3 linked regions of the Rattus norvegicus genome follow. The protein of the gene in region 2 purifies or fractionates together with the protein of the main gene of each other region. This does not show direct contact. Links are inferred from orthologs where the notes say so. Each region holds a gene or a part of one and is shown on either strand. Other genes may lie near its edges. The genes, in order: Derl2, Os9 and Serpina1.

The links.
Region 1: the proteins of Os9 (region 2) and Derl2 purify together in Homo sapiens (affinity purification with western blotting; 3 studies listed by BioGRID, with this or other methods). This does not show direct contact. The link is inferred for Rattus norvegicus from reciprocal best matches to the Homo sapiens genes OS9 and DERL2.
Region 3: the proteins of Os9 (region 2) and Serpina1 purify together in Homo sapiens (affinity purification with western blotting; 4 studies listed by BioGRID). This does not show direct contact. The link is inferred for Rattus norvegicus from reciprocal best matches to the Homo sapiens genes OS9 and SERPINA1.

What each region holds. Positions count from the first base shown.
Region 1 is NC_086028.1:56,232,276-56,241,339, forward strand, and holds the start of Derl2 (derlin-2), read right to left. Parts: upstream 5,719-9,064; 5' UTR 5,698-5,718; coding exon 5,605-5,697; intron 4,826-5,604; coding exon 4,760-4,825; intron 2,087-4,759; coding exon 2,013-2,086; intron 940-2,012; coding exon 846-939; intron 1-845.
Region 2 is NC_086025.1:64,799,163-64,807,032, reverse strand, and holds the end of Os9 (protein OS-9 precursor), read left to right. Parts: coding exon 1-46; intron 47-162; coding exon 163-264; intron 265-433; coding exon 434-531; intron 532-701; coding exon 702-756; intron 757-1,355; coding exon 1,356-1,441; intron 1,442-1,658; coding exon 1,659-1,934; intron 1,935-2,059; coding exon 2,060-2,249; intron 2,250-3,095; coding exon 3,096-3,260; intron 3,261-3,425; coding exon 3,426-3,538; intron 3,539-3,803; coding exon 3,804-3,929; 3' UTR 3,930-4,516; downstream 4,517-7,870. UniProt on the Homo sapiens protein: Lectin component of the HRD1 complex, which functions in endoplasmic reticulum (ER) quality control and ER-associated degradation (ERAD).
Region 3 is NC_086024.1:128,630,494-128,638,071, reverse strand, and holds the end of Serpina1 (alpha-1-antiproteinase precursor), read left to right. Parts: intron 1-2,561; 5' UTR 2,562-2,565; coding exon 2,566-3,193; intron 3,194-4,572; coding exon 4,573-4,843; intron 4,844-5,716; coding exon 5,717-5,864; intron 5,865-6,692; coding exon 6,693-6,881; 3' UTR 6,882-6,971; downstream 6,972-7,578.

The sequences.
Region 1 (9,064 bases), on a different chromosome or scaffold from region 2:
ATGTCAGCATGAAAGCATCCTAGGGAAGGCTAATGAAAGAGCCAAAGGTTGCCCTTCAATTAAGATCTGAGTCAGGAAAGCCGAGTAGTGACATTTTTAAACTAAAAGAAGAAAAGCCTGAAATTAATTGCCCAAGGCATGTAGGCAGAAACCGGCTTGGGCTGAATTATCTGAACTATACCTAACTACAAACTAAAATTCTGCTTTTTAAAAAAATTCACCTATTTTATGTATGTCAGTGTTCTGTCTTCAGACACACCAGAAGAGGGCACCAGATCACAGATGGTCGTGAGCCACCATGTGGTTGCTGGGAATTGAACTCAGGACCTCTGGGAGATGTTAGCCAGTGTGCCTAACTACCTCTCCAGCCCTAAAATTCTGTTTTGGTGATGCTCTTCCCTTTGACAGTACAGAGCCGCTCATTCACCACTAACACCTGAGGTGTGCAGGCTGGAACAAAGCCTAAGGCAAGCCACACCTAAGTCTGATGAGCAGAACAAATTCTCTTTTTAAAAACATTTGTATCAGTCTTGACGGTGACTTAATACACGTCTTCTTACCAACCTAGTTGAAAAGTGAAGTCAGCGGTGAAGTTACTGAGATGCTTCAAGATGACCACCTGAGTTGAAACTTCTTACCCAGCAGAGGCTCCTGTCCAACCTCTGGGCTTGCAAGCTGTCCAGGGGGCTAGGAAATGAATAGTAGCTCCTGAGGCTACCATCTTGACATCTCTGTTTGTCTGTTTGTTCAAAATACCTAGTGAATCATGGGAGACAGATGAGAAGCTTGAGGGACAGACAGTCTGTTCTTTAATATTGTCCTATATGCTATTTGTTGAAGGATACAGTCATTAAAAATCCACCAAAAAGGAACATAAATACAAAGTCTGCTGTCCGACCTCGGAAGGAGCCTTCTTCTAGCATTCGACAATAACGATATCTTAAGTTTCAAGTTAAGAAAATATTAGGCATACACATATGAAGAAGATAAAATGTCACAAACCACTGAAACATATTTGGGGTTTATACAATCTGTAAACAGTCAAGCTGCATTTCTCTAAGAATGTCTGAAGGGTAATATGATTTTTTTTTACTCCCTATCAATCATTTTAGGCAATGTCAAAACTAGCACCATGTTTTCCAAAGCCTGACACTGGCTGGAATGCTAATTCAAATACTGCCATGAACACGGTTCCAATAACCCTTACATCCCTTCCAACTCAGTGTTGTCTTTCCCATGCTCAACTACTTGTTAATTTGCACCATATTTGGCTTGCAAATTTAGAAGAAATCCCTGCAAAGAAGCCTTGTGTGATAACTACTTCTAGGCTGGCAGGCTAAGCATCTCTATTTCCTAGTCAATAAAAACTATAATGAAAAACCTTTCATTAGAAACTTATCATTCTGATATTCTATGCAGGAAACACAAGAAGCCATTTTGGGCCGTAAGTCCCATCACCTCTAAAGGCTCTCTGCCTCCCCCAGCTGAGCAGGACTGTCTAGGAGGAATGTCTAGCTCAGCACACCCAATTACCATCTGACTCTTCAACTACCATGGTTCTTCCTGTCTGTAACCAAACCTAAACACGTCAAGCCAGCAGACATTCTGACATTGGCTTTTTAGCCTTACAATCAAAGTCCCCACTCTTAGAAACCCACTCCAAAACCTGGGAAAATCCTGTTGCATTGCCAAGGTTTCAGGCTTTTGGACTACTGTGCCAGCTGGTGCTGATGTTATTTTACAAATATGCCTAAAATAAATCACAATTTATGGACACTAATATCTTTTAACAGTTGGACCCTCCCATATGAACAAGGAGTTACAAACAGTTTCAAAACATTATGATGATCTGATTACAAACTACAGACCCAGAAGCCATAACTAAAATTTTATAAAAAATAAACAAGAGTAATAGTTTCAACTTACTAAGTTTTATATGTATACTATATCTATATTATATACATACTATGCGAGCTAAAGTTTTGATGTTGACTCCATTTAATAAAGGATACAGAAAAATCATGTTAAACAAAAAATTGAATCCAACTGGACCAAAAAATAAGAAATTGGTGATTAGCCTCCAGATCTGCAGAAGGGGTCAGGTGGGGGGAATCAAGAGAAAGACACATTAAATAAAATACACGACCAAGAAACATTTCTATACTGAGATAAAAACAACATGACTCTGAGGCTCCAAAGTCCTAGGTGGGGCACATTCAAATGGAGCACCCAATCCAATTCTGGGTTTGTTCCGTGCTACACAAGTTTGTGTGTGTGCACATGTGTGCGCATGTGTGCACATATGTGCGCGCAAGGGACTAATTAAGACTGTAAAATTTATATGGATAGAAAAAGAATTCAAAATCATGATTATCTCCTATTAAACAACACAAAAATCCACACGATGTCCCTGAGTAAAAGCTAGGGTAGTGTACAAAACAGAGTGCTTTTATATGTGTAGTCACCATAATCTAAATGAGGAGTTTATAGGTACTAAAAATTTCAGGGATTCAGTATGTAAAGCTGCCAAGAAAAGTTTCTGCGTTAGCCACACACAACATTCTGATAGAAAAATCCTAGGGTAAACGGCCAGGTTCTGGTTTGAAGTCAACTTCCTTACAAGACAGAATTCATGCTCTAAGAGACAAGGAAAGATGCAGGGCAGTCTCACCCACTCAGCATACAACTACTCACAAAGGGTTACATAATTTACTGTCATATGTGGGATAAGCAAGAAAGCTGGTGTGGCCATCCTCATTTGACAATTAAGGGATTTTAAAACTTATGGCTTGCCCAAGGACAAACAGATAGGTGGAGACTGTGAAAGCAAATCCAGAACTCCTAATCCCAAACTTAATGCAAGAATTTAACCTCGGCTAGGGATGGTTGCTCATGTCTATAATCCTAGCACTATGGAGTCCAGGCAGGAAGACCACAGAATTGTTAAGGTCAAGAGTTGTCCAGGCTACATAACAGACCCTGTCTTTAAAAAAGAAAAAAAGCACAGTGATGGACTCCAAGGAGGCTGAGGCAGGAGGATACCATGAGGGTCATGCCAGCCACAACTACAAGATAAACTATCTCAAAAAATAGACAAAACAAACACACACACACACACACACACACACACACACACACACACACACACACACACAAACCAAAAACAAAACAAAACAAAACAAAACCCAAAAACCAAAAAACAAACCAAAAAAACGAAGAACCTCGGCCATTAAGCCAAACAAACCAGAAGGAAGCAATCTTAGCAAAGGTCACAGACATCTCGACTTGGCAAAGTCAAGGTATCAGAGGACTGACTGCTTCATACACCCTTAAGCCCTTGGTCACTGGTAATTTACTTGTGATAATTAATACTGACAGATCTAGTCACTCAAGACAAACTCTGGGTTTGTCTGTGAGGGAGTTTCTAGATTCAGTCACCCAAGGTGGGAAGGACATTAATGAGCACCATTCCACAGTCTAGGGTCCTAGGACAACTAAGTAGGGGAAAGTGAATTGAGCACCCGTACTCCTCCGCAAGGGGACCAACTGCCTGAAGCTCTGGATGTCACAATTTCCCAACCACAATGGACTTTACCAACAAACTGTTAGCCAAAACAAACTCTTTCTTTCTTAGGTTGCTTTGTCAGGAATTCTGTCACAGCGGAGTGAAAAGGAGCCAGCACTCTATTCACATGCAAACAACTCAGAGTTTATAGCACTCTCACGCTAGTGAGGGCACTGTACAGGGAAGAAGCTGTCTCTGAGGGTAGATAAAAGCAGAGGTTTGGAAGGCAAGCTGGAGTTCTCTGGGTTCAAAGGCAGTGTGACACATCTGGGACAGGGAAAAGCATCAATAAGGACCATTGAGGTCTTGCCTCCATATCACCTAGAGTGTGAATGACCATCCTGCCATGGAAACACACTTCTCTTCAGCATTTTAATCACTGGAAAAAGACTTCCTCAAACTGTAAAACATACTTCTCTTTAGCATTTTAATCAATGGAAAACGACTTCTTCAAACTGTAATATAGAAAGTCAACATTCTGTTTTAGATAATGGTATAAAATTCGATAGTATAATCTGACTTCTAGAAGACAGACCAGTGATAAAAAACTGAGTTCATGAGCTGGACCTTGAGGAATAACAACAGTGTTAGGTGTGTCTGGGTGGTAAATGGACAAAATAAGGCTATCCTGTCAGACTCTCTCGGCAGCTAGCTCGATAGTCTATTCTCAAATCACATTATTATTACTGCTGTTGTTATTGTTGTTTGTGTGTTGAGACAATTCCTTGATATGTAGTTCAAGGTGGGCTCAGGTTCCTGACTACTGAGATCATAGCCACATTAGTTCTTAACTAGTTGTAGTCAAATATAGAATCTCAACACATCAAAAACACACTAAACAGAGGATAAATTCGAAATTCCCACCCTTAGCATTCTTCTTAACACAGTGCTTCATAGCCCAAGCCTATCTAGCACTTGCCATCCTCCTGCTTACTCTGCCTGTCCCTGGCTCCGCCTCTGGCAATTCTAATTTGGTATAGGATGAGTTTACAAATACCTAGCAGCTCTTAAATGACTCTGGAGTCCAACCAGGTTGTGGAATTCCCTTTTTACATCTCAACAAGACTTGTAATCAGAGATTCCCCCACTGGGTTATTTTTTGAGACTGTATTTGACAGGATTTACTACTTAGTAAACAATGGGAAAAAAAAAGATAGTGAAAATATTATATCATAGTTGCTATAGACCACTTACTTGAAAGTGCTTAAAAATTAATTCAGGATTGAAGTATAACTGAAAAGGTGTGATCAATTCCAACTGCTGAAATGGAAAAAAGAACTTCTTGAAGCAGATCAATCGCAAAACAAAATTCCAACATGAACAACAAAGAATGAGTAGCTCTAATAATTTCTGTCCCTTGGAATAAATTTCTGTCTTGCTTGTGACAGCTGGTAAGAGATTCTTTAGAATTTGCACAACCGTTTTGTATCAACACACGATGTAAGTTTTATGTTGCAATATTTGAGGATGCTACAAGGCAGGCGAGTGGGAATATTTTAGAGACAAGACAACAGCATCTTTTACAAATCTGTGCGTCACGTGGTCACCACCTCAAACAGCTGGGTGAGACAACTCGGGAATAAGAGATTTAAGACCCTGCTACCATTAGGACTAGGTACATGCGGCCAGTTATTTATATCCACAGGCCGTCTTTTGAAAGATGTTTCCAGACAATTCGAGATTTCTATATTCAATATAATAGTCTGTGAACCTAGCGGACCTAACTCCCACTAGTCACCTGGACATAGCTAGACCTCTCAGATACATTTTTGGGTGGGCGGCTCCCGCAGTTCTGATTCACTACAGGTCTGGACTTCATCTGTCTGAAACTGACCTGGCCCCTCAAGAAGGAGCACACCCTTCTCAGGTCACTGGCTTGGCACCCTTGGGAATATCCCAAACCCTAGAGTCAGCTCCGGATGTCTCCACCCACCCCTGGGACCAGACCCACTGGGCTTCTCTGCGGCCCAAACCCGTTTTCTGAAGACGCAGTCATAGCTAGCCTGGAAAAAAGAGGATGTGGCGCCACAGCTGCTCACCACGGCCGCAGTGGTGAGGACGCAGGCGGTAGTGTAGGCGCGGCTGACCGGCGGGATCTGCAGGTACTCCAGCCGGAGACTCTGGTACGCCATCTTTCCCACCGCGCCTGCCCCCCCTTCCCCTTCCGCCAGTATGCCAGGCGGCGGGGCGGACTCAAAACTGGCCTCCAGCCTACCTACTACTGTCCAATCAGCGCTGTGTACTCGGACACCCACCAATCGCTGGCGCCTTGGGGCCGCTCACCCACCAATCAAGAGTTGCGCCTCTGCGTCGGCCCATCCTTACTTCTCCGCCTACCAACGCAGAGAGAAAGTACCAGCTCCTTCCGCCAATCCCTGCCGGCCACAGCTAGCTTTCCCTCCTTGTCTCCTTCCTTTTGCCAATCGCAGTGCCCCTTTCGACCCACGGCTAGCCAATCAGGAGTGCGATCCATCCCGCCTTTGCGTTCGTTCGCAGAGGCAGGTCGCAGTTGATTCTGAGGAGCCGGTGTCGCCGCCTTATTCCAAGCAGCTCAGTGTAGTTTGAAGGAAGTGGCGGGAAGCCGGTGTGTGGCGGACTACATCACCCCCGGGATCGCTTCGGTAGGGGCTGTATGCTAGCTGAGGAGGGACGGAAAGGGCGGGACCGGAGGAGTGGCCTCGGGGCAGCGGAGTGTTCTTTAGGGAATTCCTCCGGTCCGGCCTGGCTGGGCACGGAGACCTAGAGTTCCCGGCATGCCCCGCGGCTGTGAGGTGGAACGGGAGCTGGAACTGCCGGAAGCGCTCCGGGTTCTGCGGTTTCTGGGCCTTGTCTGTGGCGGTGGTAGGCTCTGAAGTCCCCTACGTTCGTCGAGACGGTGTGGGAACTTTCCATGTTTATTTACAGCCGCAGGAATTCAAATCTAGCAGAGAAGAGGCGGTAGATGAATTAATAGCACTTGGGGGGGGGGAGCGAAGGAGGGTGTGGCTGCTTCTTCAGGGATGTGTATTCGAGCTGGCTCTTGAATCTGCCTCTAATGCATTGTGTTGGAGCAAAGGCTATCTTGATCGTGGCAGACATATTCAGTAAGTTATAAAGAAGCATTAAAATCGAGGGACTGTGACTGTCAAGACTGGTAAGAACCAAGTAAAAAGTGGGAGAGAATAACATTTAGAAGTAAGACTATAAGGCTGAACGTAGTGGCACCGGCCTGTGTCTCATAGCCACTCTGAAGGCTGAAGCCAGAGGATTTGTTGCATCCTGAAGTTCTAGGCCAGTGTGGACAACGTAGAGGAGAGTGGGAGCAAACACGGGAGAGGTCTTAGCAAATTCTTGTTAAAACTTCATCTTTATAACTATTGCCTCATCATAGCATTGGTAGTGTCTAACAGAGAAAAGCAGAATTTTTCTCAGAACTGGAAGTTTGGATGTAGGAGTTTGGTTATATATCATGGTGCATCAATCCAGGAATGTTGAGAACTTTGAGGGAGAGTTAGAGTGCACACTTAAGAGAATTACTGGGGGGCTGGGGATTTAGCTCAGTGGTAGAGCGCTTACCTAGGAAGCGCAAGGCCCTGGGTTCGGTCCCCAGCTCCGAAAAAAAGAACCAAAAAAAAAAAAGAGAATTACTGGGTGCAAGTTGTCAGTAGATATACCCATCATTTGGGTAATTTGTAACGGATGACCACCTAGCTATTATCTTTAGCTAAAATATAATGAAAATACCTTTTAGGAAAGCCATCTCAATATAAACAACGCATGTGAAGGTAGAGGAGGGGTGGAGGTGGTTTCAGTGTTCAAACAGTATGTGAAGCCAGATGGTTTTAGTATTTAAAATACGGTGTGGGACTGGGAATCTAGCACTAGAGTGCTTACCTAGTATGTAGAAAAGCCCTCGGCATACCTCTTAGCTCTATAGGAAAGAAAAACAAGTTTATTAACTACCAAATTCACAAAAGTTAGAGTGTTAGCAGATCCAAGAAGTTCTTTCTGGTCTATTCCAAATGATTGTAAACCAGCTTAGACGTTCTGAGGATGTTTTGGCAATGTTTAGTGACATTATATATGCAAATATGTAACAAGTACCTCAGAAGATATAGAAAGATCTCCATCATCATCAGCTGACATCGTCTCTTATGACTAGAAGCTCAATTAATACCTCTAAGGCTCCTAGCAATTGAAGTGAAAATCAAGAACTGTTTTGAGACCCTATTTTGAAATACAAAAGATGTCTGTCTTCCTGTACTAGTTCTACATATGCAAAATCAATTTTTCTAACCCATTAGTTATGAGCATAAAGAATATCCTGTAAACTCAGGCTTCTAACATAGGCCAAACAAGAGCAGATGCCACTAAGGTTGCATCCTTTGGAGGGATAACTAAATATCCACATCTCCCTACTCAGATGACTTTGTCATTGTGTTAGAGCAGTTGGGGAATGGCTTAGTCTCATTGCCAAGTTAGAGTGAAGACACCGACACAAAGTACACGTGCTCTACGTAAAAGAATTTGTAGCCTTGAGTAGCTGTTCTCTTACAACACAGTTTCTAAAAGGTGGTTATTGTGTGGGTGTAGTCATGACTCAACAGTAAAGAGCCCAAGCTGCTTCTTCCAGAGGACCTGAGTTTGCTTTCTAACACATGTTCAGTAGAACTCTGGCTCCAGTCCATCTGACACCCACTTCTGGCCTTCAGGGGCACCCATAAGCATGTGGTATATGCACATATAGGCTTATACACACATAAATAATAAAATGAAATATTTAAAAAAACTTACGGTTTAAAATTGAAAGAGCTTAAGTATTCTTAGATGACCCAGTGACTGAATAGAAAGTAGTAGACAAAAGGCAAAATTAAAAAGATGATGTCTGATAAGGGAACTGCCAAATAAGAATTTAAAAGGTTTATTCCAACTATAATGCAGACTCTTCTGACTTTAAGGTCATATCTTATGGCATGTTTTTCTGATTTTGTTCCCAACAAAGTCTCTTAAATATATCTCTAATTTATGAATCTGTGTGCCATGTCTGGCATTAAAGGATTATGCAAACAGGTATCATAAAACAGATTCACAAATGGATAAATTAGTAAATGGTAATTTAGAAATAAGAGTAGGAGATCACTGATTAACATTACTGTTACTATTTGAGAGCTCTTGCAAATGTAGTCTTAGGTGCTTTGAAGGTAGGAGAGTGAATTGCCATAGAATACAGTGCCTTGATGTGGACTGTATTAATCTTGTGGCTCGCCAGCAATTATATCCTTAGCTGCACCTGCAGAATCTTATAATGGAGTATCAAGGACCAAGTCAGAAAGAACCTCAGTAATCTGTTTCAGTGTCAGTCTGACTTTTACCTGGTTCCTAACTTTCTTTTTATTTTTTATGCATATGGGTTTTTTTCTCTTTATTTTTTCTTTGCCCGCATGTAAATATATTCACCACACATGTGCCTTGTTTCCTTGGTGGCCAGAAGACATTGGATTGTCTTCGACTGGAGGTAGA
Region 2 (7,870 bases):
GCCCTGCAGCCTGACGAGTACATGGCCTACCTCCAGAGGCAAGCTGGTGAGTACACAAGACAGCGAGGGAGGCGGGGACAGACCTACACGCAGGTGGGTGGGCGCTATGGGCACCGCAGGCACTGACGCATCCCTGGCTGGTGTGCACTGGTTTCCTGGTAGAGTCAAAGCAGCATGAAGAGAAAGTCACAGAGGAAGTTCAGGACACAGACCACCAAGTGTGGAGTGGGAGCAAGGCTGCCGGAGCACCCCCAAAGAAAGAAGGTGGGATGAGGCCTTGGCCAGTCGTGATGCTGGCCACCACGACCTTCCTCCCTGTCTTCCTGTCCGGTGCTGACATTGTGGGTGGCAGGATAAGAGGGAGTGTATCCCCTCTTATCCTGCCTTCTTCTCTGCCCCCTTTCCATATTCTCCTCTGTTCTCCATACCCCAGATGTGAGCCCCACCAAGGAAGATAAGGAATCAGAGTTTTGGAAAATGCTTCAGGAGCCAGAGGAGCAGGCTACAGGAACAGAGGAAGCACAGGCAGGGGTGAGATCAGGCCTCTCCGCTGTCCCTGACGAGCCTGGACTCAGGCCCTGGGATGGCTAGGGTCCCTCAAGCCAAGGTCTACGAGGTGACCTCTGTCTGTCTAGGGATGAAAGGAGCATGGAGGGCAGAGACAAGCCCTCACACCTGAGTCTGACCTTTCTCCTCATCAGGAACAGGACCTGAACCATGAGGCTGCAGCAGACCCAGCTCCAGCCCCTCCCACTGGTTAGTCAGCCCTGTGTCTCCCTCAGTTCTTAGATGGGGAGAGCTGAGCTACTCGGGAGGTTGGGAGCCGGGACATCAGGTCCATTCCTCCCTACCTCCCTGTGTCTTCTGGGGCCAAGACCTGAACCCAGACTCTCGCACACTGATGATTTACCTCTAAGCCATCCAACGGCCTGGCCCCAGTAAGCCCACTCACCCTTAGCTTCTCTCTGATCAGCAGAACCACTTAAGGAGGTCAAAGGGCACTTACCTGCACTCCCCTGCCATGTCTTGTCAGTTTGCCCACCTATAGAATGGGGAAGGGTAAAGGGATCTGTTCTCCACAGCAGGAGGCCCAGAACTGAGAAGCTGAAAGCAGACTCCAGTAAGGAGTCCTAGGCTCCGAATCTCCTCTATGGTCCTAAAAATAAAAACTAAGGTTTTTTTTGGGGGGGGGGGGGTAGCAGTGCTTTGCTACTCACATGCCCACCATGTTGCCTTCTGCAGGCTTCCTGAGGCAGACTGTGATCCTCACCCCTCGCCCCCCCAAGCCTCTCTTCAGGAATTAAGAGATGATTTAAAATGCAAAATGCCCACACCCACTCTCTTTTTCATCTCAGATTTTCAGAATAATGTGCAGGTCAAACTCATCCGGAGTCCTGCAGATTTGATTCGATTGATCGAGGAGCTAAAAGGTGCAGAAAAGGTACGGACCTGCCCAGGGCCAGTGGGAGCCACCTCCCCATTGTGTTCCTTTGGAGAGAGACCTTTACCTGGGACAAACTGGCCCCAGTAGAGCCTGGTCCTGCCACCAGCTCCCATTCTGCCCTTCCTGTGGCCCCCACTAGCATGTCCTGCCCCCCCCCCCAGTATTATGAAGGACTCCTTCAAACTGAACTCCTCCTCCCCAACTCCCCACCCAGGGGAAGCCAAGCGTAAGGCAGGAGCAGCCTGGAGATGATACCACAGAGGCCCCGCAGAGGGAAGCGGAGGCGAAGGGAAAGGGTGGTGAACCCCGGGGTCTCGTGGAAGAAGAGGATGGTGACGAGGAGGAGGAGGACGAGGACGAGGATGAGCAGCAGCTCCTGGGAGAGTTCGAGAAGGAGTTGGAGGGGATGCTGCTGCCCTCGGACCGAGAGCGCCTGCGCTCAGAGGTTAAGGCTGGCATGGAGCGCGAGCTGGAAAACATCATCCAGGAGGTGAGCACCCTCCTGCGACTGCCACAGTGCACAGGACAGGAGCGCCCAGCATGGTGGCTGCCCTTAGTCTAAAGGGGATGCCCCATCTCTCTTCCCCTAACTGCCACCTTCATTGGGCTTCACAGACAGAGAAGGAACTGGACCCAGAAGGGCTGAGGAAGGAGTCTGAGCGGGAGCAGGCAATATTGGCTCTGACATCCACTCTGGACAAACTCATCAAGAGGCTGCAGGAGAGCCAGAGTCCAGAGCTTGTCCAGAAATACAAGAAAAGGAGAGTTGTCCCTCAAAAGCCTCCCCCATCACCGCACCCTACAGGTGAGAGCCTGTGCTTCCTCTCCCTCCCTCGGGAGCACTGTGCAGTGTCAGCTCCTCCCCCCACTGTCCTCCCTGCAGACACACCTCATAGCCAGCCTTCTGGAAGAGCAGGCCTGGTCTCTGGTTTGCTCCATGCTCACTGCCTGGTGCTCTGCCTGGCATATAAGCAGGGACTAAACGAGCTGAGTCTGGACGCTGAAAAGCTCATCAGGAAGAAGGAGCTCTATGCCGGCCTCGCCATGGGTGGGGATTGCAGAAAAGGAGACAGGCAGTCTGTGGGTTTCCATAGTGGACATGGTGGGAGATGGACAAACAGGCAGGTATTGGGGGGGGGGGGGTCTCTGCAGCAGGAAGGTCCCTGGCTGTCAGTGTGAATAGGCAGGCCTGTTGGCACCAGCCACCACCAGCCAGGGCACACTTGTGTGATCCCTTCTTCCATCTCCTTGTACTCATGTCATGGGATTCTGCTGGAATGGAGCAGAGAGAAGTTATTCCAGCTTCCAACCTTCTATCCACCTTTCTGGTAAACATCGAAAGGCTGTTAAGTCTGTGGAAAACAGAGCTATGGCTCTCCAACCTGCTCCATAAAGGTGACACTTCTGCAGGTGCAGGTGGCCTGGCCTGGCTTTTAGGAAACAGCTGTTCTCCTATAGAAGATGGAAGGCTGGGGTGGGGGTGGGGGTCTGCCTCTGGGGAAGGGCGTGTTTTCGAACCCTGGATCACATGCATGAGAGGTGGAGCTTCTACTCAAAGCAGCCCTTGGCTTAGAGAGGGGCCACCTCACAGCCCTTCACCCCGGAGTCACCATGGCTCTGCTTTGTGTCTCCCCGTGTCTTCCCCTCTAAGAGGAGGAGCCTGAGCACAGAGTCCGGGTCCGAGTCACCAAGCTCCGTCATGGAGGCCCCAATCAGGACCTGACTGTCCTGGAGATGAACCGGGAAAACCCACAGCTGAAACAGATCGAGGGGCTGGTGACAGAAGTGCTGGAGAGGGAGGGGCTCACGGCGGAAGGTGGGCCCTGAAGGGCAGTGCTTAGAGCTGTCGGAAGGGCTTGCCACAGGAGTGGCAGGGCTGGGTCAAGGTGGACTGGACACCTCACCTTGGGACCCACCCGGAGGGCAGGGGACTCTAAAGCTCCCAGCTTCCCCTCCTCACCACCCATATTGCTCTTGCCAGGCAAGATTGAGATCAAAATTGTGCGACCCGGGGCTGAAGGTAAGGAGGAGGACACACGCTGGCTGACTGATGAGGACACAAGAAACCTTAAGGAGATTTTCTTCAATATCTTGGTGAGACATCCTACCCACATCCTGAGCCGCAGCACACACCACTGTGCTGCTCAAATTAGGGTCTGGTTATGCCAGCCATACCTGTTTGTGCACCCCATCCTCCTGTCCCAGGTGACGCTAAGCCTCAGCTGCTGCTCAGGGGAGTCCATTGGGAGAGTCCATTGGGAGGCCACATCCCTAGTCCCTGCCTCCCGCCGAGGTCTCAGGACCTCCCTAGATCCCACAGAACAGGAGTTTCCTTGGCTCAACCCCTCCTTCCTCCCAGGTGCAGGGAGCAGAAGAGGCCAATAAAGAACGCCAGCGACAGAGTGAGCTGGAGAGCAATTACCGCCGTGTATGGGGCTCTCCGGGTGGAGAGGATACAGGGGACCTGGATGAGTTTGACTTCTGAGACCACCTTGCTAGGCCCTTTAAGGATTACTGCAACGTCCTGACCAGCTCTGCCTCCTTACCCCATCCTGGGGCCCTGGAGGCAAAGGGCAGATTGGAACCCAGCACTGGATTTCAGGGGCCCAGCCTGAGGGTGTGTGAAGACCCACGAGGGAGACCTGTTGCAGTCCCAGGGAGCCACCTAAGGCCACGACCAGGCTATAGGTTTCGCTCCCCAAACATACCCTCCTTTGCTCCTTTAGCTTTTCCTGTCCCCCACCTTCTTAGCACTTAACCCCACTCTACCCAGAGACTTGATGAGACCTTGTGCGTGGGAGTGGCAGGAACAGCAGGGCTGCAGTTTTTCAGACTCCCAAGAAAGCAGATTCCCAACCCCACCTTGCCCCACCCTACCTTGATCCCTTTGGTTTAGGGAGCTGTTGCCTCTCCCTTGGGGCCCCTACTTCCTGTCTGCTGACTGTCTCTTGTCACTGAGGGAACTGGAGCCCTTACTATCACCTCACAAACAATCCCAGCGAAAAGGGTTGGAGATGGCGCCACCCCTGTTCTTCAGCAATCAGGTTTCTAAATAAAAGACCGGACTGTCAAGCCCATAGGCTTTGTTGGGAGGGCGAATGAGGTAGGAAAAGCTCAGGGGAAGGAACATGTTCTCCGGTCCTGTTTGCCACATTACCCAAAAAGTATCAGTGTGCCTGGGGTACACAGGAGGTGACCAGGACAGCCGACCAAAGCCTTCCAGTATGGAGAGAGATGCTGTTCTTTCCTGGGTAAGCTGACCAGGCACTGGCCTCCAAAGGCCTGGGGGAGATCCTGAGTGTCAGTCTTTGCTTGGCAGTCGTTTTACAAGCCAACCTCTGAAAGGATAAGGATTTGGAGGCAAGTCTCAGAGGACCCTAAAAGCTGTGGCAACGCTACTGGAGACCTTTGGTTCCTCCTCTCATCATCCGTTCCTATCCCAGGGGCTTGCACACGTGAGGTGAGCCCTGAACAGCTGAGTTATACCCAGCCAGTTGCTTCAATTGGGCAGAAGCATATCTTCCCTAATCCTCTCCTTCCTTACATCCTGAAAGCCAACATGTGGATCACAGAGACCCTCCCACACCCAATGGGGCATCTCCCTTCCGGCAGCATACTCCAGATTCCTCTTGCCAGTCAATCCCTCCATCCCTCGGGTTATTTACCATTCCCTGGAAGATTCCACCTACAGGCAGGACAGGGCTGCTGCCCACATGCCATTGTCATAGCACTCCAGAGACAGGTGGGCCTGGGGTTCCACTCTTCCCGATTGCCAGCTGTGGGTCCCTCCTGCCTGTGTCCTCTCCCAGAGTAGTGGGCCCTCAGGACAGTAAAGACAAAGTTTCCCTTTTGAGTCCCCAGCTAGAGACAAAAGGGGTGCACTACAGGAAAGGGACTGAAGAGGGCATGACCTGCCACCTCCAGAAGACTGAAAAGATTATTTCAGAAACTCCTGGGGCCAACCCTCTTGCTGCTCAGTGTGGATGAGGGCCGATTTCATGTTGTGCTTAAATTGTTTTGAAATGTAAACAAGTCTTGCTTCCCACAGCCCTGTGAGTCTCCTAAGGGGATAGGTGTTACAGCTGGCTGGGAACTTAAGTGGGCTTGAGAGTGGCCAAGGCAGAGAGAACACTGGGTTCAAACAACACCCAGTGACCTCCTCTAATGCTGAGCAAGCTCTGGCCTCCTGGGGGGCAGTAATGAGGTGTCACAGACTTCCTCAGAACAGCAGTCACCTTACAAAGCATCCTCTGAGCTCTGAAGGGATACAAATGTGGAGGCAAGTCCTAGAGGACCCTAAAAGCTGAGGCCAAGTTATAGGAGACACCCCTGGACTGAAGAGGCTGCAGGAGATTTATCACCGGTGCCTCAGCATGGTCAGAAACAGAAACCTGGCTTCATTGAATCAACCTGAACTTTCAACAGGACACTCCTTTTCCAGTCTTTTGACTTTTGGCAAAATTTCCACGAAGGTCAGTCAGCCTCAGCTATGCCAAGGCAAACAAAGGGAGCAGAACAGCAGGTGTGTGTTGGGGATGGGGGAAGATGGCATCCAGAAAGGGGTGGGGAGGTTTGGGGATGCAAATCCAAGCTGAGAGGCATGGCTGCCGAGGGGCTGTGTGGGTTCAGAAGGAGCAGCAGCTTGTCTGTGCCCGTCCAGGGCCACCCACCCCTCCTTTTCTGCCCCAGCCCAGAGGACTTGAAATCTTATTCCCCACAATGCTAATGCCACCCATTAAAGGAAACCAACTACTTGGCAGTAGTTTGCTGACATTCTGACCGTTTTTTCACTGGCCTGCAGATCCCCTAATGGGACTCTGTTCTGCTCAGGGTCCTTGTTTCCTCCCCATACTCTAACACCCCAAGATGCTAAGGAAAGGTGTGAGCGTCTGCTCTAAGGGAAGGTGAAGATGATGAAGGGGGGATCAAGGTCTCAGCTCATAGGCAGTTGGGGTCTGCCAGGTCTTCCTGACTTTCCCTCTCCACAACACTCCTCCTTGGGTCATGCCAGGGGCTCTGCAGAACAGCCTCCAGATGAGATCTGTGTCTGGAGCTATGACCAGACCCCATCAGTTCACTGGCACATCTACAGATGAAAACTTTAGAGGACAATGACAGTTGGAACCAACCCTACCCAAAGACAACGTCCATACCACCAACTGATTCCTCAGGGTAGACCATAGCAGGTGGGGGCCCAACCTTCTCTAGCCACTAGCGCAGTACCACCCTGCTGTGCCTTTATAAGGTCTTGTGCTTACAGCTTCTACACACAAAAGGCAGGGCTGGCTATGCGCTAAGCTGCAGTACTATGGCCCAGGCCACCATGACCAGGTGACCCTGCAACAATAAAAATGAGTGAATGCAGGGTTGGGGATTTAGCTTGGTGGTAGAGCGCTTGCCTAGCAAGCACAATGCCCTAGGTTCGGTCCCCAGCTCCGAAAAAAAAAAGAAAAAAAAAATGAGCAAATGCCTGGACCTTGTGGACCTCAGGGCCTGCAAATGGTTGGGAAACCTTCTGCCCCTTCAGTCCCTAGTGTCTCACCTCCATTAGCTCTGATGCCTAGTGATCAAAGTGGGCAGACATCTTCCCCAGGGCAGCGGTCTTCCCTGAGGCCACAGCACTTGCAGGGGTCCTCTCGACACTAAGAGGCCACTGAGTTCACTTGCCTGCCAACCCCACCTCAACTCCCCAGGCCTGTCTGTTTCTTCAAACGCCATGCTCCAACTCCTTCCTAGGCTCAGCATCAGCTGTGCATCTAACTTCTCTCAGGTCCCCACTGTTGCTCCTACCTCACAAACCCAGGGTTGTTGTACAAAGCCGGAGCTACATCCGTGCCTGGGGGTGCTGTCCTAACCCCAGCCCAGGAACCAGCACCTCTCTCAACCCTCTTCCTCCCCCAGTTCCCAAGCACGGAGACCATACCCTCGCCTGCCTGCCCAATAACAGACCAGCATCTCACCCCCTAGACAAAACCACTTGCTCTTTAATTGCTGTTAAGATTCACACCACCTGCTTTGGAGGTGAGGGGGGTAACCCCTGCCCCCTCTTCACTCCACTGCCCAATTACCTGGTCTTTTGCAAAATATTTTAGCCAGGAAAAAAAAAGACCGGAAACCACTGACACAGACGGCCCAAAGCCGGGCTGAATAAGGGTGGCAGGGCTGGGCCAGAGAAGTCCACACCATCTCCCCCTTTCTGGGGATGGGGCAAGGACCTTGAAACCCTTCCAGCCACTACACACCCTCTCAGCCCCGGCTGGGAGGGAGCAAAGGAGAAACGGACCTGGAGCTGCTCCAGTGAGAGAGGGGCTGGACAGAAAGGATTATGGGGGAGGGGTCCCATTGTAGGGGTGCCCCCTACCCCAGATCACCACGGGCGCTGCACAGTCACAGGTACGCAGTCACAGTCACAGACACAACCCGAGA
Region 3 (7,578 bases), on a different chromosome or scaffold from region 2:
GCCTAGTGAATAGTGACAGTCACATCAGGATTTGAATTGTCAGCCTCTGGCCTGAGGTCACTTGGTATGTTTTCTCGCCACCCTGTGAAGGCCCAGCCTCTTGATGGAGGTGGGGAATTTCCACAGGGCTCGCCAAAATCCAAACAAGAAGGAACAAAAACATCAGGAATGGAAATATACAGAACTAAACTCAGTGTCATCGCCAACTCTAACACACCAACTTGTTTGAGAAAACATCGACGTGTACTACGCAACCTGTGTTCAGCTCTCCAAATTATTTACACCAAAGGGCAGAAAGTGCAGCTAGAGACACATCTGTTCTTCATTGTGCTCTGGTGTTGGAAAGATACTTTTGGCAGGCCAAGGGCAGGCAAAATTCAATATTTCTCGTCTTCAACTTTCCCCCTTCGGGTTTTCAGATCCCAAACTTGAGGGTTCCGTTATAGTAAGATGATAATTCTAGCTATGGGTCTAGGGAGTGTGACTCTCTTGGTAGAGAGTTAACATAGCACACATGAAGCCCAGAGCTACATAAAGAGGTCATGGTGCTACACACCCGTCACCCCAGCACTCTAGCAGTAGAAGTAGAAGTAGAAGTCAGGTGTTCAAGGCCATCCTCAGCTAGGTAGTGAGTTTAAGGCTAGCCTGGGACCCATGAGATTATATCAAAAGAATAAAATAAAAAGGATGGTGTTGTCATTATTGAATTAATAGCTAACTATGTGGTATGGTGGCCTGAACAGTCATCATACATGCGGCCTCAACTATGAAGAGAGCATGAGCTTGTAGACTAGTAGCTTGCGGGCACGTTAGAGTAGAGAGACTTCCGTAGAGCTGGAGAGGCTGGGGCTGGGGGTGTGATCTTGACTTTGGCCATCTCCAGGCAGAGTTTGCCCTCTCTGGTGCAATCCAAGCCTTGCCTCACGTCAGCCATATAACACATTGCCCTCCCCTGCTCCTCTTTCCAGCATTTGAGTTTGCATCATCTGCCACCCTTCCGTCCCCAAGACTGCCCTTTGAGAGCTTGTCCATGGAAGGTCTGATGCAGAGACTTAGTGCCCTGAGTTCTCCTGGTCTCACCTTGTAGGAAAGGCAAAACAAGGATCAAATGATTTCTCCTGGCTCACGCAGCCAGAGAGTGACAGAGCCTGGGTTAGAACTTGAGGCGGTCATGGATAGATCACTCCACCACACACATATCCCATGTTAGAGCAGAGGCATTAATTTCTGCTCTTCCAGCACTGAGATAGGAGTAGTGGCAAGGTGGCAGATAGGCTGCCAGAGATGAGGCCAGCCCAGTCTGGGTTTAGGGTTACAGAGCAGAGCACACACAGTCCCTCTTTCAGGGTAAGCCACTAGGAACTGAGGTTCCTTGTGGAGACTGAGTGTGGACAGCCCCTGCATTCCTCCTTCTCCTCCTTCTCCTCCTCCTTCTCTATGCATTTGTGGGGGGAGAATGGGTGCCTGTGTGCATGAGGAGGCCAGAGGAAGGCTCCAGATGCCCTGAAACTAGTTCCAGATGGTTGTAGCTTGCCACTGGAAGTCCTGGAATCAACTGCACATCCTCTTCTAGAGCACCAAGTGTTCCTACCTCCTAAGCCATCTCTGCAGCCCTCCTGGTTATTTCTTCACAACCTTAGGCTTCTCTGTGTACCCAGGCTACCGACATTCATCTCCTCTTCTGTAAGGATCACCACAACATCAATATGTTCTCCCTGGGGACCAGAGGTCCCCACGTGGATTCTTGAGAGTTCCCATCATTTTTTCCAGCTTCAAATGATTGTTAGTCTGGACCACAGTGTTCCTCTTGTAATTACTGACAAGGCCACTTCTTACCCTGTACCTTGGCTTCTTCCTTACAAAATGGGGCAGAGACCTGTGCCTCAAGATCATCTGAACACTGCTTTGGTGGAAATGGAACTGTTGAGAATACTGGTGAGGAATGGGACCACCTATAAGTGCAATATAGATCTGCTGTGTGGCCACTCACTAACTTCGAATGTATATCTCAACATCTCCCTTCCCAGCAAACTGAAGGGCAGTAATAGCTTCCCTGCAGGACCGTAGGAGGTCACACATGTAAGTACTAAGGACAGCATTGGGCAGATGGAGAGCATCCTATCTGATCTTACTTTGCTTTCACACATGCATGTGGAAACACACGTGCATGTGTGTATAGAGGCCTCAAGTTGATGTTGGGTGTTTTCCTCAACCACTGTCCACCTCATTGAACTTCTCACAAAGCTTCTCTGAGGTTCTGGCTAGCAAAGACAACCAGCTTTCCTCATGGATACTCCACCTCCACCCCTTGGGCTGGGATTGCAAATAGCTACTATGTCTGTATTACAGCTAAACTCCTATCCTCACACTTCCTAACAAGTGCTTTATCCACAAAACTGTCTCCATTTTTTGATACCTTTTTTCCCCTCAAAGATAGCAGTTCAGAACAGTGCTGGGCATGGGGCCTGTTCCCAGAGCATGGTTACTTCTATATTGTGTCAAATAGTAGGAGATGGGAGTTGCCACAGCCCTGACCTTGCATCTCTTTCTGTGTCTTGCAGGAAAATGGCACCCTCCATCTCACGGGGGCTCCTGCTTCTGGCAGGCCTGTGTTGCCTGGCCCCCAGCTTCCTGGCTGAGGATGCCCAGGAAACCGATACCTCCCAGCAGGACCAGAGTCCAACCTACCGTAAGATTTCTTCAAACCTGGCAGACTTTGCCTTCAGCCTATACCGGGAGCTGGTCCATCAATCCAATACATCCAACATCTTCTTCTCCCCTATGAGCATCACCACAGCCTTCGCCATGCTCTCCCTGGGGAGCAAGGGTGACACTCGCAAACAGATTCTAGAGGGCCTGGAGTTCAACCTCACACAGATACCTGAGGCTGACATCCACAAGGCCTTCCATCACCTCCTCCAAACTCTCAACAGGCCAGACAGTGAGCTGCAGCTGAACACAGGCAATGGCCTCTTTGTCAACAAGAATCTGAAGCTGGTGGAGAAGTTTCTGGAAGAGGTCAAGAACAATTACCACTCAGAAGCCTTCTCTGTCAACTTTGCCGACTCAGAAGAGGCTAAGAAAGTAATTAATGATTATGTAGAGAAGGGAACCCAAGGAAAGATAGTTGATTTGATGAAACAGCTGGACGAAGACACGGTTTTTGCCCTGGTGAATTACATTTTCTTTAAAGGTAAGATGGGATAGCCAGCTTGAGCTGGTGTCCATGGAGACACCCATACATAGTCTCAGGGACCAGTTTCTGAGCTCTCATTCCAGGCCATGGAACTGTCCTATCACGTTCCCTACTCTCTGATGGGTAAACTCTGGCATCTTTCAAATCACCAATTAAGTTTAGAGATTGGCTTCAATCAAATCCCCTGACTTGTTTGAAGGATTGATCAGAGCCGTTTTTGTCCTAGTGCTCCCCTACAAAGGAGAGTCATAGAACTTGCAAACCTTCCCCAGCTTCAGAACCAACCATCCTGGTTGTGATGGTCTGAAGAGAATACTGTTGCAGGGAGCGTACTCGATCGACCCTTCTGTTGCATACCATTATGAGCTCTGGAAACATGGGCTTAAATCTGGCCACTACTGTCTATTAGTCTTGATACTGGACAAGACATTTTACCTGCTTGGGGTGTGGCTGTCCATATTACATAGAACAAAGCTAGCTGACTGCTGTGTGGGCATGAAAGAATTAGTGAGGTTACCCAGTGTGCAGGACATAAGCACCCGATCAACTATCATCCCAAGCGTGGCCTCCAGCCTGGCAGTACTTAGGTTAAGACTCCCCAGAGAAATCACCTGAGTGAGGTCTTGGAGTCAAAACCAGGAGCTGCTCTGGCCTTCATGACTCCCTGACTCCCAGCAGAGTTCTGTGGAGCAGAATATCAAGCTAGCATGGATCAAGTCCCAGCACTTCTCTGACAAGGGCATGTGTCAATTCCTCCCCAACCCCTTTACCTCTTCCTATCCAAAAGGAAGGTGGGATTAGGGTTCCTGATGATCTCTTGCTGACAGCCTTGATTCTAGGTCCCTGAGACCCGTGTCCACTCTAATGACCTTGGTGACAGGTCCCTGAGAGCCTCTCCCACTCTAGCGGCCTTGTTGATGTGTCTCTGAGACTCTAACCCATTCTGATGGGTTCTTAGTGGTGGTTCCCTGAGGAGTCCCCCTGCCCACTACAGTAATCTTGATGATGGTGGTTTTATATAGCAGATAGGTGTCTGCACTGAACCCTTAGGTGTAGAAAGGGACTTAAGGTGCTTCCTGATAAGAAGTTAGCAAATAGAACTGTCAAGCGTTCCATTAATAACCCCAACTCACCTTTTTCTAAGTATGTAACAACTATGGAAGATATTTTCTAGGCACAAGGGGGATGAGTAGTTCTCAGCTTCTGTAATCTGCAGTCTGAGTCCTCCCATAGTCCTGAGTTACCCTCACCAAGGTTCTTGGGCAGCCTAGAAGGCTAGTAGTGACCCCCCTCCCATGCACATGAAAAGCCAAGGGCCTGTGGCTCCACCTCACTGGTTAAGGTTTCCTCTCACCCCCCCCCCCGCCCCTGTGCAGGCAAGTGGAAGAGGCCATTCAATCCTGAGCACACTAGGGATGCTGACTTCCACGTAGACAAGTCCACCACGGTGAAGGTGCCCATGATGAACCGCCTGGGCATGTTTGACATGCACTATTGCAGCACACTGTCCAGCTGGGTGCTGATGATGGATTACCTGGGCAACGCCACTGCCATCTTCCTCCTGCCCGATGATGGCAAGATGCAGCATCTGGAGCAAACTCTCACCAAGGATCTCATTTCCCGGTTCCTGCTAAACAGGCAAACAAGGTGACTCCCCAGACAGAGACCTTCTCTGACTGTCCCAAAGAACAGAAAGTGCTTGCAGGGGGGGTGGACTCTAACCCGAGGTCACAGTGAAGCGTGTAGACTAGAAATAGAGATCTCTGGGCAAGCTTGCAGGGCAAGGCTCTATTCCTGTCAGTCCTCAGTGGGGCTGATAGGTCTTCAGGACGCAGTGGTCCTAGAGCATACTCAATAGGTCAGAGGACCTGTGCACTCTGAGTCCAGGCTCTGCTGCCTGTGAGAAACCACAAGCTAAAAGGAAGTCCTGGCAAGGATGATGTGGGAAGAAGCTGTGTCCCTGCTTCCCAGCCAGACCTCCGCTTAGGTCCAATGCCCATAAAAATGCAGAGAAGCAGATAAGGCTCAAACCAAAATGGGTAACAGATTCCGAGGGCCAGTAAGACCCCATTGGGCCCTTCTCACTGCCTGTGGAAACTGGGAGCTTAGCCTTCAGTCCTGTGAAGATGAGGGGAATGTCACTCAGCTGCATTGACCCTATCCCCCCTGAGAATCAGATCCAAGGGGTAACCCTTGCTTGAGAGGAGGGACTGACCAAACACATGAGGGGATAGTGAAGCATGGTCCTGTGTATACACTCTGAATCTGCCGGAAGGACTTCTGGGGGGGGCATTTCAGGGGCTTCCAGGAGCTTGAACTTTGAAATCTCATAGATTTCAACTCCTCTTCGGCTAGAAGAGGACCATGTAGAGGGGAAGCACATGAAGATGCTTTCCTGTCCTGCTGGGGGTAGTAGCATGTCCCACGTGAGACCCAGCCAGAAACAATTCCACAACTAGGTGGATCTCAGCAGAACCCAGAAGTTCCATGAAACTCCTGTAACTCTTACCTCCCCACCAGGTCAGCCATTCTCTACTTCCCCAAACTGTCCATCTCTGGAACCTATAACTTGAAGACACTCCTGAGCTCACTGGGCATCACCCGGGTCTTCAACAATGATGCTGATCTCTCTGGAATCACAGAGGATGCCCCCCTGAAGCTTAGCCAGGTGATGTTACCTAGCCATGGTGATGTCCTGATGCCCTGGGTGTCTGTAGAGCAGCACAGGGTGTGTGGGTAGCTCAGTGCAAGGCTGGGGGAAGAGGAAAGGGATGTAGGCAGAGTCTAAGCTGAGGTTTTTCTAAGGACTGCCAGGATTCACTTGGACAGGGTGTAGTCAAATATTAGCTTGGAGGGTCTTCTTATGCAGATAGAATTATGGGCCCTTCCTTGAAGTGCTGCCCAATCCTTGGTTTCATCATCATCTGGAGAATTTAATTATTATACTTAGTTTATATATGTTATATATATTCTGAGGCCTGGTGACCTAAGAGAGTGCTCTTGAATATCCATCCCTGATATTTAGAACTATCAGTGAAATAACCATTTGAGATTATGAGTTCAACCAAACAGGCCACTGGTTCAGAGAAATTAAAGGCCGTTCAGAATGGGCAGAATGGTCTTAAAAGTCTGGACATCAAAGGTCATCTTCAAAGCCCTTGTCACAATGTGCTCACAGCTACACACCGGACAGGGACTCTCATGTAGAGGACATGAAGTTCCTCTCCGTGAAGCTACAGCTTGCATCTGAGGCCATGAGAGATGGAATCGGGAAGGGAGAACGGAAGGGAGTGGGACCAAGGCAGGCAAAGAGAGGGAGAGGAGGAGAGTTCTTAGGTGATCACCATGAGAGGGGGCTGGGGGACGAGCAGGAAGAGGTGGAGGGAGACACATGCCCTAGTGAAGTCCTCCCTAGGTGAGTCCCATGTGAGATCTAGCTCCAGCCAGGAATGGCAATCACCCTACCTTCAACTGGCCTCTGCTTCTCTCTCCACAGGCTGTGCATAAGGCTGTGCTGACCTTAGATGAGAGGGGAACAGAGGCTGCAGGAGCCACTGTGGTGGAGGCCGTCCCCATGTCTCTGCCCCCTCAAGTGAAGTTCGACCACCCTTTCATTTTCATGATAGTTGAATCAGAAACTCAGAGCCCCCTCTTTGTGGGAAAAGTGATAGATCCCACACGTTAATCACTGTCCTCAGAAGTCACATCCCTTCTGGATCGGGTCCCCTTCCTAATAATATTAAACTCAGGCTGGCCTGGCCTGATGCTTCTGCAAGTCCTCGACTCTGTGGGGTTTGTGTGCGTGCGTGCGTGTGTGTGTGTGTGTGTAGCTCTGAGTTTGTTGTGGGCTTGAGATCACAGTCTGTCTTGATCTTCCATCCATACAAATAGGTTGTGGGCAGAGGACTGTGGCTGAGACCATAGACTGGTCCTGAAACCATGTGCTTTAAAAAACATCTGTCACCTCTGGAAAATGGAGGGGACCATGTGGCTCATGCTCAAAGACCCAGGGTCCAGCAAGTGCCTATGTTCTCTAGTGACTTCTCCTCCTCTGTCTTCTGCCCCATGCCCAGTGAGGCCACAGCACATGGTGACCCTCACGGGCTCCCAGAGCTGACAGTTCAGGAGCCAGCTGTTAACTTCGCTTTCCCCATATTCCATCGAGGCAGGGCCACATCCTCTCCCATTCCAACTTTTCACTTCACCATAGCTGGTCCCTCCATCTTACCTACAGTTTCTTGAGGACAGCTAGGGGAGATTATTGGTGAAGACTGCTGCGTGACTTTTCCCAGGGAGGAGTGAACAAAACATTCACTCGTTCCAGGCAGGGTACCAATGTATCACTGCACTCAAGTCTAGCTCGGTGAGCCAATGAGTTTATT